2 linked regions of the Drosophila melanogaster genome follow. The protein of the gene in region 1 purifies or fractionates together with the protein of each later gene. This does not show direct contact. Each region holds a gene or a part of one and is shown in the gene's direction. Other genes may lie near its edges. The genes, in order: Nup35 and Nup154.

Evidence for each region.
Region 2: the proteins of Nup35 (region 1) and Nup154 purify together in Drosophila melanogaster (affinity purification with western blotting, with the first as the bait; one study listed by BioGRID). This does not show direct contact.

The regions. Positions count from the first base shown.
Region 1 is NC_004354.4:18,646,318-18,650,249, forward strand, and holds Nup35 (nucleoporin 35kDa), read left to right. Parts: upstream 1-1,864; 5' UTR 1,865-1,988; coding exon 1,989-2,139; intron 2,140-2,198; coding exon 2,199-3,043; 3' UTR 3,044-3,172; downstream 3,173-3,932. Other genes in the region: Rip11 (Rab11 interacting protein), read right to left, coding at 873-903; Hou (houki), read right to left, coding at 3,216-3,775, 3,836-3,932. UniProt on the Drosophila melanogaster protein: Functions as a component of the nuclear pore complex (NPC). May have a role in the organization of the inner nuclear membrane proteins at the nuclear envelope together with Nup154.
Region 2 is NT_033779.5:11,002,946-11,011,017, forward strand, and holds Nup154 (nucleoporin 154kD), read left to right. Parts: upstream 1-1,874; 5' UTR 1,875-2,034; coding exon 2,035-2,133; intron 2,134-2,193; coding exon 2,194-2,356; intron 2,357-2,422; coding exon 2,423-2,916; intron 2,917-2,975; coding exon 2,976-3,148; intron 3,149-3,216; coding exon 3,217-4,187; intron 4,188-4,246; coding exon 4,247-4,486; intron 4,487-4,549; coding exon 4,550-4,711; intron 4,712-4,769; coding exon 4,770-5,316; intron 5,317-5,374; coding exon 5,375-5,900; intron 5,901-5,965; coding exon 5,966-6,432; intron 6,433-6,497; coding exon 6,498-6,620; intron 6,621-6,681; coding exon 6,682-6,814; 3' UTR 6,815-6,965; coding exon of another isoform or gene 6,966-7,952; 3' UTR 7,953-7,976; downstream 7,977-8,072. Other genes in the region: RpL9 (ribosomal protein L9), read right to left, coding at 1-293, 566-806; Art8 (arginine methyltransferase 8), read right to left, coding at 6,966-7,952, 8,009-8,047. UniProt on the Drosophila melanogaster protein: Component of the nuclear pore complex. Has a role in the organization of the inner nuclear membrane proteins at the nuclear envelope.

The DNA.
Region 1 (3,932 bases):
AGCGGGGCAAGTTCAAGATCACAACAAGCTGGATCCGTTCATGTCAATGGAGCCCAGTGTATTTATCATCTTGATTTGTGTAAATTCCACGCAGCTCTAGATTGAACCACAATTCGTGACTCATTTACTCATTTGGCCGCCCAGTGGCCACTATTGCAACCAATAACTAACATTGCGGAAAACATTTCTTAAAGGGTCTTATTGGCCATGTTGGAGATATGAAAATATCTATGCTTTGGCTTTCAGTTATTATTTGTTTCCATAATCACTGGACTGGGAACAGCAGAATGAGCGCGCTTTGTGTTTTGTCACGAATTTGGAATCGGAATTCGCGATTTCTCATTGACACTTAGCCCTGAAGAAAACGCAAAACGAAAACAATGGCAAAGGTAAACAAGAGGCACCAAAAAAGCGCCACCATGGGCGTATGCTAAGGAATGCCAAGGGGCGGAAGGCGATGCAAATACATAAGGGGAGCGCTTAGCATGAGCAATTTTCTAGCAATGCGATGAGTAAGTGCGCATTCGAGCAAGGGAATTATCTTATCAGCCAGAAAAGCCTGATAAAAAGGCAATTGCTGGAGTCAGGAAAACACAAGAGGAAGAGCAAGAGGCAATGGCAAAAGGAGGAAGCGCGCGGTGGGGAAAAAGTGAAATTTCGAATTGGTACGTCTGCAGCAAAAGCAATAGGAACAACACGACCGTCATGACAATATTTTAAGCACACACCAACACAACGGCGCAGGCCACACACCCATACACACGCGGCACAAACGAGTTTAAGTTTTAATGCGATTTATTCGCCGTAAAAAAAAAATAAAAAAAAAACACAAATACTAAAACGGGTGTCCCCCGCTTTTCGCCCCCACTTACCCGTTACACTACAGTGCGTCGGACTCCACATGTCACCCTGTATCCCGTTGATCAAGTCGCACTCTCACGCTCTCTCCCGATCCCGATCCTTTGCTGTCTCGCTCTTGCTGCGAAGGTCCTGCCTTTCGTTTCTTCTTCTTTGCCTATATTGTAATTTGGATTGTTGTTGTCGATGTGTTTTGTTTACACTAATCGTTGTGTTTGTTGCTGCTCGCACACTGTGATTTCTTCTTATTGTTCTCAGTTGCCAATTTAATCACGCGCGACACGAACGAAACGCCAGGAGAACGTAGTGTAGTCTAATGTAAAAAAAAAAAGGAAAAAGACGGAGACGCGACGCGTGATGTTGTTGTTTGAAAGGTGGCCGCTAGAGTGACCGTTTGGGGGAAACGAAATGTGCCCACTGCCAGTCGGGGAGCTGCAAAAGTGCAAGTTGCGCGGCGCGACTGCGAAGAACGGCGTATTTAGTAGAGGTGGAGAAATCGATGTTGGCGGACATCGATGTTTTCAATAAAAACAAAAAAATTAACTGCTTAACTTAAAGATTATTATTTTTTTATAATTGCTTAAATAAAAAGGCAGTACTATAACTAAACATGACAAGCTTATTGCCGTCTACGTTTTTATCCGCCCCTGGTCCAATAATTGCTCCTATAAATCAAATATACTAATTAATGCAATTCAATAGAAAAGTAATTCAATAGAAAAGTAAGCCAGTATGCATACGAGCAGGTGCACGCATGCATACATGCATAAATATACGTGTCGTCTTCCACGACGCCAGCCAAGACCACCAGCAAGTCACTGAAAATTTGCAATATGCTATTAATAAATGGAAATTGGAAAATTTGGAAATTTAATTTATACTCACAATTTAAACACTTTTAACCTACGATGCGCAGTAAAGATGGAAAAACATCGATGATTCTTTGAAAAACATCGATGTTTGTGATTTTTCGAAAACATCGATGACATCGATGTTGGCATCCACCTCTAGCATTTCGACCCCAGCCCAGCCTGGTCGCACTAACCGATTACAGCTGTGGCGTCCTTGTTAATGCAACGCTTTTTCGTTTTTCGCCGTTATAATTATTATAATTAATATTCGCATTCGATATGGAGCCAATGAATCTGGGCAGCCCGGTCAACAGTCCTGGCTCCAACCAGACCCAGTATCTGCCACCTTTTCTGCTCGGCGATCCGCAAGGTATAACGCCGCACAAGAACACGCTGTCCCCGAAAACCGGGCGCTCTAATATAAGTTTCGGTAAGTAGCCGGCATCAAGCAGCTCGTACGCATTGGCTATATGAACACATGCCCCGCAGCCACCTCGCCCGGCGGCAGCAGTCCGCACGAGCTCAACCGCTCCGCTCTGAGCACACGCACTCTGTTCGCCGCCCAAGGAGGCGCCCACACGGCTGTGGGCGCCAACAGCTCAACGACCGCGCACGGCCAGACGCACAGCCACCACCAGACGGGACCGCCCACCCAGGGACTCTTCGACTCGCTGCGCGAACAGTCCGTCACCCCGAAGAAGAAGAACCATCTTGGCATGCTGCAGTTGCAGTCACCGAACCAGAGCTACCAGAGCAGCTATCACACGAATGACTCGTTCGCACCCGGGGCGCCCAATGCCATCAATGCCTCGATGCGAGCACTGTGCTCGCCACTTGGAGCCACTGCCTCGCCAGCTGGAGGCCTGGGCACATCCGTGACGACGGGCGGCAACTCGCGCCTATCCGACTTTTGGGTTACCATCTTCGGGTTCCCGCCGGGGGCCGGCTCCATGGTGCTGCAGCACTTCACCGTCTGCGGCACCATTGTGGACGTGGTGCATGCCCCGCAGAACGGCAACTGGATGTATGTGCGCTACTCCTCGCGCATCGAGAGCGACAAGGCGCTGAACTACAACGAAAAAATCATCGCCGGCAATGTGATGGTGGGCGTGTCGCGCTGCACGGATAGGTCGGTGATCGATAAGGAGAACATCGGCTCTGTGCCCAATGCAGAGATAGGAGATCCCCCCACCAGCCCCAGTGCGATTCGACCGTTTTCCCAGCAGTCGTACAAGCTGGCCCGCAAAGATAACATCATATCGCCGCAGAAGGATGTGCCGCAAAAGAGCTCCGGTCTGATGGACAAGGCCATGGACCTGATATTCGGCTGGTAAGAAGGGCTGATGGCAAGTCGGATGGATGGATAGATGGAGTGATGGAGTTTCCGGCTACTTATTTAATAATTCACTGCCTACATCCAGCATACATACATATACATACTTATTAAATGGAGATATATTAGCAATAGCATTAGCAAAAGAAGTCGAAGGGGGTGGCGCTGCCCTTCTACTTGGGCTCCAGGTGCGCCGTCTCTAGGTTCTTCATCTTGGGATAGCTAATGGAGCGGCTGTCCAGCTTGGACTGGGCCCACAAGATCAGCTTGAGCAGGAACATCATTTTGGGCGTGGAGTCCTCGCTCTGCTCGCAGCGCAGGATGGCCGAGTTGAGCTCGCTAGCGATCTTCTGGCGGTACGACTGCTCCAGCAGGTCGGCGAAGGGGCTCTCCTGCGGCTTCTCGAAGGCGAGCAGGGCCAGGGTGCGCTCCAGCTCAAACATGGCCTCCTCGCCGGACTCGGACAGCTTGCTTTGGGCAAAGGACAGGGCCTCCTCCACCTTGCCGGCGCGTATCAGCTCGATGAGCTGCAGCTGCTGCAGGTGGAAGAACAGATAGCGATCGCTGCCGAGCAGCTCAGGATGCAGCTGGTTCACCAGCTGGGTGGCCTCCTCGATGCGGCCCGCCTGCACGGCTTCGCGGATGAGTATGCGCCCATCGAGGCTGCTCAGCTCCACGCTGGGCTCCAGATCCGCCTCGTGCTGGAACTTCTCGGCGGCCTCCTTGAAGCCCTCTGTGGATTAGCCCTTGATTAGCTGCTTGCTGTGGCTGCGGGCTGGTGACCCGGACTCACCTGTGACCAAGTAGTTCATGATCAGGCGATTCATGTCCGCCTGCTTGAAGGGAAACTGCTCCAGGCGCTGCAGCCACTCCTCCTTGATGATGGCCTC
Region 2 (8,072 bases), on another chromosome or scaffold:
GTACAGACCGTCAAGGAACTTACGGATATCCTTGTTCTTGACGGTCGTGGACTGCTGGATGAGGGCGGCAGATCCGGAGACAGACTCAATATCGTTTCCCTCCACGATAAGTTCGTCCTTCTGGGCAGTGGAGTTGACCACGGTGACGCCAGGAGCCATCTCCACACGACGGATGTACTTCTCACCCAAGAAGTTACGGATCTCAATGACCGTGTTGTTCTCGGAGGTGACACAGTTGATGGGGAAATGGGCGTACACAGCACGCATCTTGTACTGGAATCCAAACGTGACTCCTGGCGAGAGAGAAATTGCAATTAATTGTGTGGTACTTTGAATGCAAATGTCTTTAGGAACCTAATGCCGAATCTAATTTGCCAGCACACACTGAAAATATTTACTAACTACTATATAGCATTTTTAGGTAATTTGTAAAGAAAATTGATATCTATGAATGGAGTTTAGTAAATCGTCTTCCCAGATATTATTATTAAATTCTCGTGTGATTGGCAAATGAAAGGCCTGGCTGTGAAAGTGTTCCTGTTGTGTTTACCCTAGCTGTACGCACCCTTGATCATGTTCTCGATGTGACTGCAGACGGTGCGGACGGCGGCCAACTCCTTCTTGGTTCCGAACCACTTCTCCACCTTCAGGGTGCGCTTGTCGGGCATGTACATGTCCAGAGCCAAGTGCTTGAAGCTGCGCTTCAGGGTGCCGCGGGTGCCGGTGATGGTCACCACACGGGCCTTCACCGAGGCCTTGATATCCTTAGGGATCTTCACGCACTGGTTGGAATTAATGGTACGCATCTTGATGACACTGTCGGCAAAAACATTAATTATTAGTTTATCAAGGCTACAAGTGCTTGTCACAGAGCATTCCAAACATCGAATCGCAGAGTTCACATCGGGCTAACAAAACGTGCGCTGCCTATTGTTTTCCAATTTGTTTATGGATCATCCATCCCAGCGGAAATGGAAAAACGGCGGCTCTTCAGTGCCACACGCCAATTGCCGTTTCACTCGATTCGATGTTTTGGGGCGCTTTTTCACACAAAACTTACGCTCCGTTAGTCCCTCGTTTGTATGACACAAATTCTGGATGGACTCCTCGCTGCAAGGGGTGGTTTTAGAGATATTTTGGGTTAAAATTTCAATAAAAATATAACGCGGAACACACTACTCACCGGAAACGGGGAAAAGAAAAGAAGGGAAATTTAATGTGGCTGTGTGAGGCGCACAAAATGCGCTAAATTTTGAGCGCCATGTGCCGTTGGGGTGCTGTTAACGTTACGCATTGTGCTGTTAAGCGCTAGAGTTTCTGTGTTGAGTTACAGTAGTCTTTTTTTTTTTTTTTGAAAAGAAGGCTTAAATCAAGTCTATTTGGGAAAGCGGAAAGTGGATTTTAATCACAATTATAAAATCCATTGGCAAAGCTTCGAAATGCTGAATTCATTCAGTAGTTTGAGGTTTTACCGATTTTAGAGAATAACACACCTGTTGCGCTCAACTGAGTTATACTCTTCACATTCTAATATTTTTATATTCTCAAAAGTTTCCGGCATGGGAAGTGCTTTTTTTATTATACTTGTATTAGCACAGTTACTGTTTATATAAAATTATCAACGTTTTTTCAAAGTATTTAAGCCCACTGAATATGCCTACTAAAACCATTATTGTCTATTAATATACGCGTCCTTATCATATAATATATATTAGCAGTAAAAGAAATTATTATTAAAATATTAATTTCATGCACGTTTGCAAATGTTTCTTGTGACAGACGATTTCATAATACCCCGCTAAGGCGCCTGAAATTGTGAAATCCATTAATATTCAATCGAAATATACCAAAACAATACCGAGAATGTGAGGATATCTGGTAACACTTAGCAGAAGGCGGGAGCGTGGGTACATTGAGCATCAGTCGACCAAATCTTCAGATTAGTTTGTAGTTTCATCCCAAAACAGTGGTCTGACGGCATTTTAAGTTAGCATTGCACCCGAGTTAGCCCGCCTCATCACAGTTTTCAGCACGATGACTCTTCCGCAAGCACAGCTGGACTTTTTCACGACGGCGACCAGTATGCTGGAATGGCATTACAATCTGGAGAGAAATAAGCCGGGTCTGCTGGAAGTATGTATTGGATACGGATGTTTATCAGCTTCTCCTCCTTTAATGATACGTTCTTTGTAGCTGACCGGCGTTAGCCAGCATGGGCGGGCCACGATGAGCGGACTTAATGACTACGATTACCAGAGCCTGTCGTTTTTGAAATCGGATAGAACACATAACCTACAACAAATGCGAACGGTGACCAAGTCGGCTATTCCCAACGAGATTCTGGAGCACTTTAAGCGTACGTATCCTGGGCTTCATAGCCCATAGATCTATCCGTTCCAATCTTCGATCCTACCTGTTGTAGACATAAAATGCCACTGCACCATGGGCCTCTTTCCGGAAATCGGACGTGCCTGGCTGACTATCGATTCGGAAATCTACATCTGGACGTTCAATCAGACGAGGGATGTGGCGTACTACGATGGCCTCAGTCATCTGATCGTAAGCGTTGGCCTGGTGAAACCAAAACCCGGCGTCTTTGTGCAGGACGTCAAGTACCTCCTGGTTCTCACTACGCCCATTGAGGTCATTGTCCTGGGCGTGACATTCGGTGAGAGCTCGTACAACGAAATGCAGCTGATGAACCGGCCAGTTTTTGTGATTGGTACCGACAACGTGTCCATCAGCGTCATCAAAGGAACGGATGACGGCCGCATCTTTTTGGGCGGTCGCGATGGCTGCCTCTATGAAATTTACTATCAGGCCGAGTCCAGTTGGTTTGGCAAGCGATGCAAGAAAATAAATCTCTCCCAAGGACTGGTCTCCTATATGGTTCCCAGTTTTTTGAAGGTCTTTTCGGTAACTATTGTCTTTACTTCAAAAAATGTCCGTAACTATTTAGCGCGATTTGTTTGCAGGAAGTGGATCCAATCGAACACATTGAGATCGATAACAGTCGCAAGCTTCTCTATGTCCTTACGGAAAAAGGTGTCATTGAGGCTTGGGACATCAGTACGAGTTACACGACAGCTCGAAGACTAGGTCGGATTACCCAGAACGATATTACGAATCAAGCAGTTAGTCTGATCACGTAAGTGCTAGTTTCGCAAAGAATTTAACTGTAGTATGGTTAATTAATAACCATTATTTAAACTTTAGGACTGTGGACCCGTCCATTTTTAAAAGTGTGAAAGCCATCTGCCCTCTGAGCGCCGACGATGCCGACAAACTACATCTTGTGGCCGTTACTCAGTGTGGTGTGCGGCTCTTTTTCTCCACAACATCGCTAAATGTGAAGCAACAATTTGGTCCCGCGGTTCCTTGCAGTCCAGGTGAGAATACAGGATTCGGTCAGCCAGCAGTTCAGCCACCACTGTCTCCAAATGCTGAGGCTCCTAAGGGACTTTATCTGCTCCACGTGCGTCTACCACCCGGCTACACCCCAAATGCCACCACCAACAAACCAAAGCAGGTCCATGCCGCTCACTACACGGAGGGAACCATGTTGATGATCACAACGCAACAGCATGAACAGGATCTCCTCTGGTCGCTCAGCTCTGCCCCATCGGTTAACTTTACCTACCTGGTGGAGTCGACGGCTCTGGAGAGCCTGGATGGAGTTGTTTGGGGATTGGCTGAGGTACATGAACCGTCGACGCCACAACGAAAGTCACCCTTAAATAGTGCCCGACACGCCCGCAAAGTAGCCCTGCTCACCAACCAAGGCACACATATCATAGAGGTGCTTAAAATGGTGGACGTACTGCGTCAGATCCTTCTGTCGTGCAATGGCCCACACCACGAGGAGGTGAAGATGTTCTTCCAGTCGCAGAATCAGCGAGAGGCATGTGTCACGGCTCTGCTGCTGGCCACATCGGATACTTATCGTGGCAGTGACGTTGCTTTGTGGGCCGCCCAGGCGTTTATGCTGTACGGCGGAGAGCCATGCTATCAGCATCAAAAGTTCCTGAACGCCAGCAACCGCAATATGGCTAATCAAACTCTAGGCCCGAATACGACGAATGTAAGGGAGCGTCAATCCATGTTTATGTCCACGCCAATGCCGAATAGCGTGGCAAATAGTCCGGTTGGTTTTCCTGGATCGCAGTTCAATCAGCCCATAAGTCCAAGTGAGTTAAATAAGATCTTCCAGATTGCGAAATAGTAAACACAAATATGTATTTATCAGTTGGAAATATGCAGCCACCACAGGTGGCAGTTAGTAACGAGAATTCCCCAATCGTTTTCTCGGCCAAACACGACGGACTTTACATGTATGTCTCCCGCATGCTGCATTCTGTTTGGCAAATGCGCTGTGTAAATGAGCAATTTTGCTCTAATCTAAGTCAGAGTGAGTGTGCCCTCTTGCTATCCGATCTGCGTTCCCTGCGTAGCTTTCTGGAAGTGCACTCTGTGCACGATATTTCCTGTAAGTCGTGAACTTTTTATTGCAAGTTAAGGTACTTACTTATTAATTATACAATTGTTGCAGCGACTACTCGAGTGTCATTTGATAACCATTTGGATAGAACCAATTCATATAACACCATCATGATGGGCAACACTTTGCTGCCAATTCCTGAGCAACGCGTATTGTCCGAGCAGGCTCAAGTAGAGGAAACACGTTCGCTTTCCGCTCTCAACCTATTTGTCAGTAAGTAAAGTTGGGATATTAAATCATAAAGCTTGAACTTATCTACCGCCGTTTGCAGAACATGCATGTGAGGTTATATCGCTGTGGAACATCCTAAACTCGCATTCCTTCCAGCTGATATGCGTGCAACTCAGTCCGGAACATCAGAAGTTGTTGACATGCTCCACCTTCCGGGATCTTCTGATTACACGTTCAGAGGTCTGCGCATTCTTGATCATCTCGCTGATCAATCTGTATCTGAAGGACGCGGCGGGAGTGTCTGAAGTGTCCAAGAACTTACGTGAGAACTGCCCCAACCTATACAGGCATGAGGATGACGTGACCTACAAGGCCACCGAGTTGTTGATGAATGCAAAGAATTGCACTTCGGCAACCGAAAAGGAACATATGCTGCGAACCACCCTGCATATGTGCAAGGAAGCTGCTCCCACATTGCCACTGCATAGTATTTGCATGCAATTCATATCGGCTGACTTCTTTGAGGGAGTGATCGAGCTTTCGGCTGTTTGTGCCTCAAAAAGTGATCCAGAGGAGGTTGGTGTTCATTTCTATAACAATGGGGAACCCGCCGATGATCGCGAGGGTTACACTTGCTTTGCCACAAGGTAACTTCTTTAATAGTTTTTTTTTTTCTTGGAAAAACTAATTATTTCCACATCTTAGGATGGCCTACTACAAGGAAGTGCAACTTATGCTGGACCATATCTACCAGAGAGTATGCAACAAGACGCACGTTCAGGATAAGTCTATAAATCCACTTAAAGGTACGGCTAAAGCGTCCGATGCAAAAAACGGTGCTACGCAAACGATTCCAAAAATAGTGGCCCATACCCTAAAGGTGAAAGACCCGCTCATTCATATAACGCTCTACGAATGGCTGCTGGCCCACGACATGCTCAAAGAGCTTTTAGACGTGGTTGAGCCGTCATTAGGAGAGTTCTTGCGGCGCAGTGTGTCGCAAAATGTAGATAATGTCGTTCTTATCGATTTGCTGTGGAAGTACTACGAAAAGAATAGCCATCATTCCCAGGCAGCCCATATATTGGACAATTTGGCTATGACACGCAGTGAAAACATTAATCTGGAGCAGCGCATTGAGTACTTGGTGCGTGCTGTTATGTGTATGCGAAATGGTAACGTTGGCTCTTCATTAAGCAATGGAATATTCCTGAAAGAGCTAGAGGATAAGGTACGTTATAAGATCTCTGGAAAGATGTGGTGACCTATATTTAATAACATAATTTAAAAATTCAGCTGGACATCGCACGAGTTCAAAAATCAGTGCTTGCCGCGATGACAGAGTTGGCTAGCGATAAGCTGGAGGCAGCTACGGCTGTTAAGGAACTAAACTATGCGTTGTACGACATAACTCAGCTATACCAGCACTTTGCGGAGCCCTTCGACCTTTGGGAGTGCCAATTGTCCATACTCAACTGCTCGCATCACAACGACCCCCTACTGATCGAGTCCGTTTGGGGCCAGATTATCAACAGCGTTGTGGATAAGCCGGGCACAACTAGTGAGCGCTGCAATAGGTTATTCACGAAAATCGAAATCTTGGTAAGGGAGTATGGCGAGTCTGGAGTTTGCTTTCCCTTTGCCTTTCTCATAAGGGAACTGGAAGTTAAAGCCTGCCAACTGCGATTTCCCGAGGGCATAGTGCCGGAAAAACTGGTGAGTATGAATTTGGACATTGAACTGCTCCTGGAATACTATTCGAGGTACGTATTGAAGGGTTTTCGCAGAGATAAAATTGTTTAAAGGCTAAACTTTTAAAAACTTTCAGAATGATTTCAATGAACGAACGAGTGTGGGCCAACGAGGGTAATGAGTGGCATTTAATACAATCCGTCATACGAGTGGTCTCGCTTCTGGCAGACAACGCACAATCTATTTGGTACCGGTCAAAGTAAGTGCAAAAGTAAAATGCTAGCCGATACGATTTACTTACATTCACATTTAACTTGCAGACGACGAATTGTTGGCAAGGCTCAAGACATAGTGGCCGGCTGCCTGAATATTTGCTACCAAAAGCCCGACACTAATCGTCTTCAACATTCACTCAAGGAACTTCAGAGTCAGCTGCAGCGGTTGTTGATTTAAAGCCGTCGGCCTGCGTTATTTTAATTAAATTTTTGAAAGTGCTGGACTAGACGTTAAGTTTGACTGAGATATATATTGTATTTGTATTAAACATGTTAAATAAATTGATTTCCCCACAGATCGTTGTTCGGATTCCGAGATGGCATGTAACTCATGAGGTGTCCATCATTTTTAGATGAGCTTCCGTCAGAATGCACTTCGTCATGTGACAGGAGCAAGGCACTGGATGCTCCTCTGTGTTGGGGTCTAGCAAATCCACCTCCAGATTGTATTTACGCATATCGGCAGCACTGCGCTTCATTGTGATTTGAAATGCAATGGGTGACTTCTCCTCCAGATTTTCGCAGGATTCCTCGGGCAGGACGACTACACACTGCTTCCAATGCGTTGGCGGGGATAGCGGCGATGTGCTTAGAACAAAATCTTCGCCAGGAAACTGTACATCGAACCAAATGCAGAAGCCCTGGTGATTGCCCGCCTTCTGGGCTGTTATTACCTCCTTGAACTGAATGCTGTCCAAATCGCTGGCTTCCACATCCAGCAGATTCATCCAGTGAAAGACGACGCCCTCGTGCAGAAGATCTTGCGGATTCAGCTGTGTAATCTCCGGTCGGGATGACTTTTGGGTTCTGAGTTTTCTGGCAAACGTGTCCATTTTGATGCCGTCCACGTTGTGCCAATCATCGAAGAGCGATGGTACCGAGCAGGGTGCCACGAAAATTGTGCACTCGCTGGGGAACAGGAGTCCACCCTCCTTGAGGAACTTGTCCCGGGCCAGGAGAACCGAGTCCAACATGCCCTCGTGCAGCAGGTAGAAGCCCATCCACTCGGACACAATGATGTCCACCTTTTCCGCCTCGGCAGGCAGTACGAATTCCTCAACACGCGACTGGATCACCTTCACCACGTTCGTCAGGCCGTTATCCTCAATCAAATCCAGCGCAACTTTGGTGGCCACATTGGATGCTTCTACGGCGTAGACCAAACGGGCTCCTGCTTTCGCACAAAAGGCGGACAGAATCCCTGTGCCGGCACCAACATCCATTACGATCTTGTCCTTGAACAGATCCTTATTCCCCAATATCGCATTGTAGTAGGCTTCTTGCCGAGGACGATCCTTCAGCATGAGCTCGTGGATCTGTAGTTTGGTCACTATGAGTACAGTTTCACAAGAAGATCTATAATCTTATTTACCTCCAAGTTTTCATACTCATCGAAATAAGTGTTCGCCATGATTTAAAGTTGCAGTTATCAACAC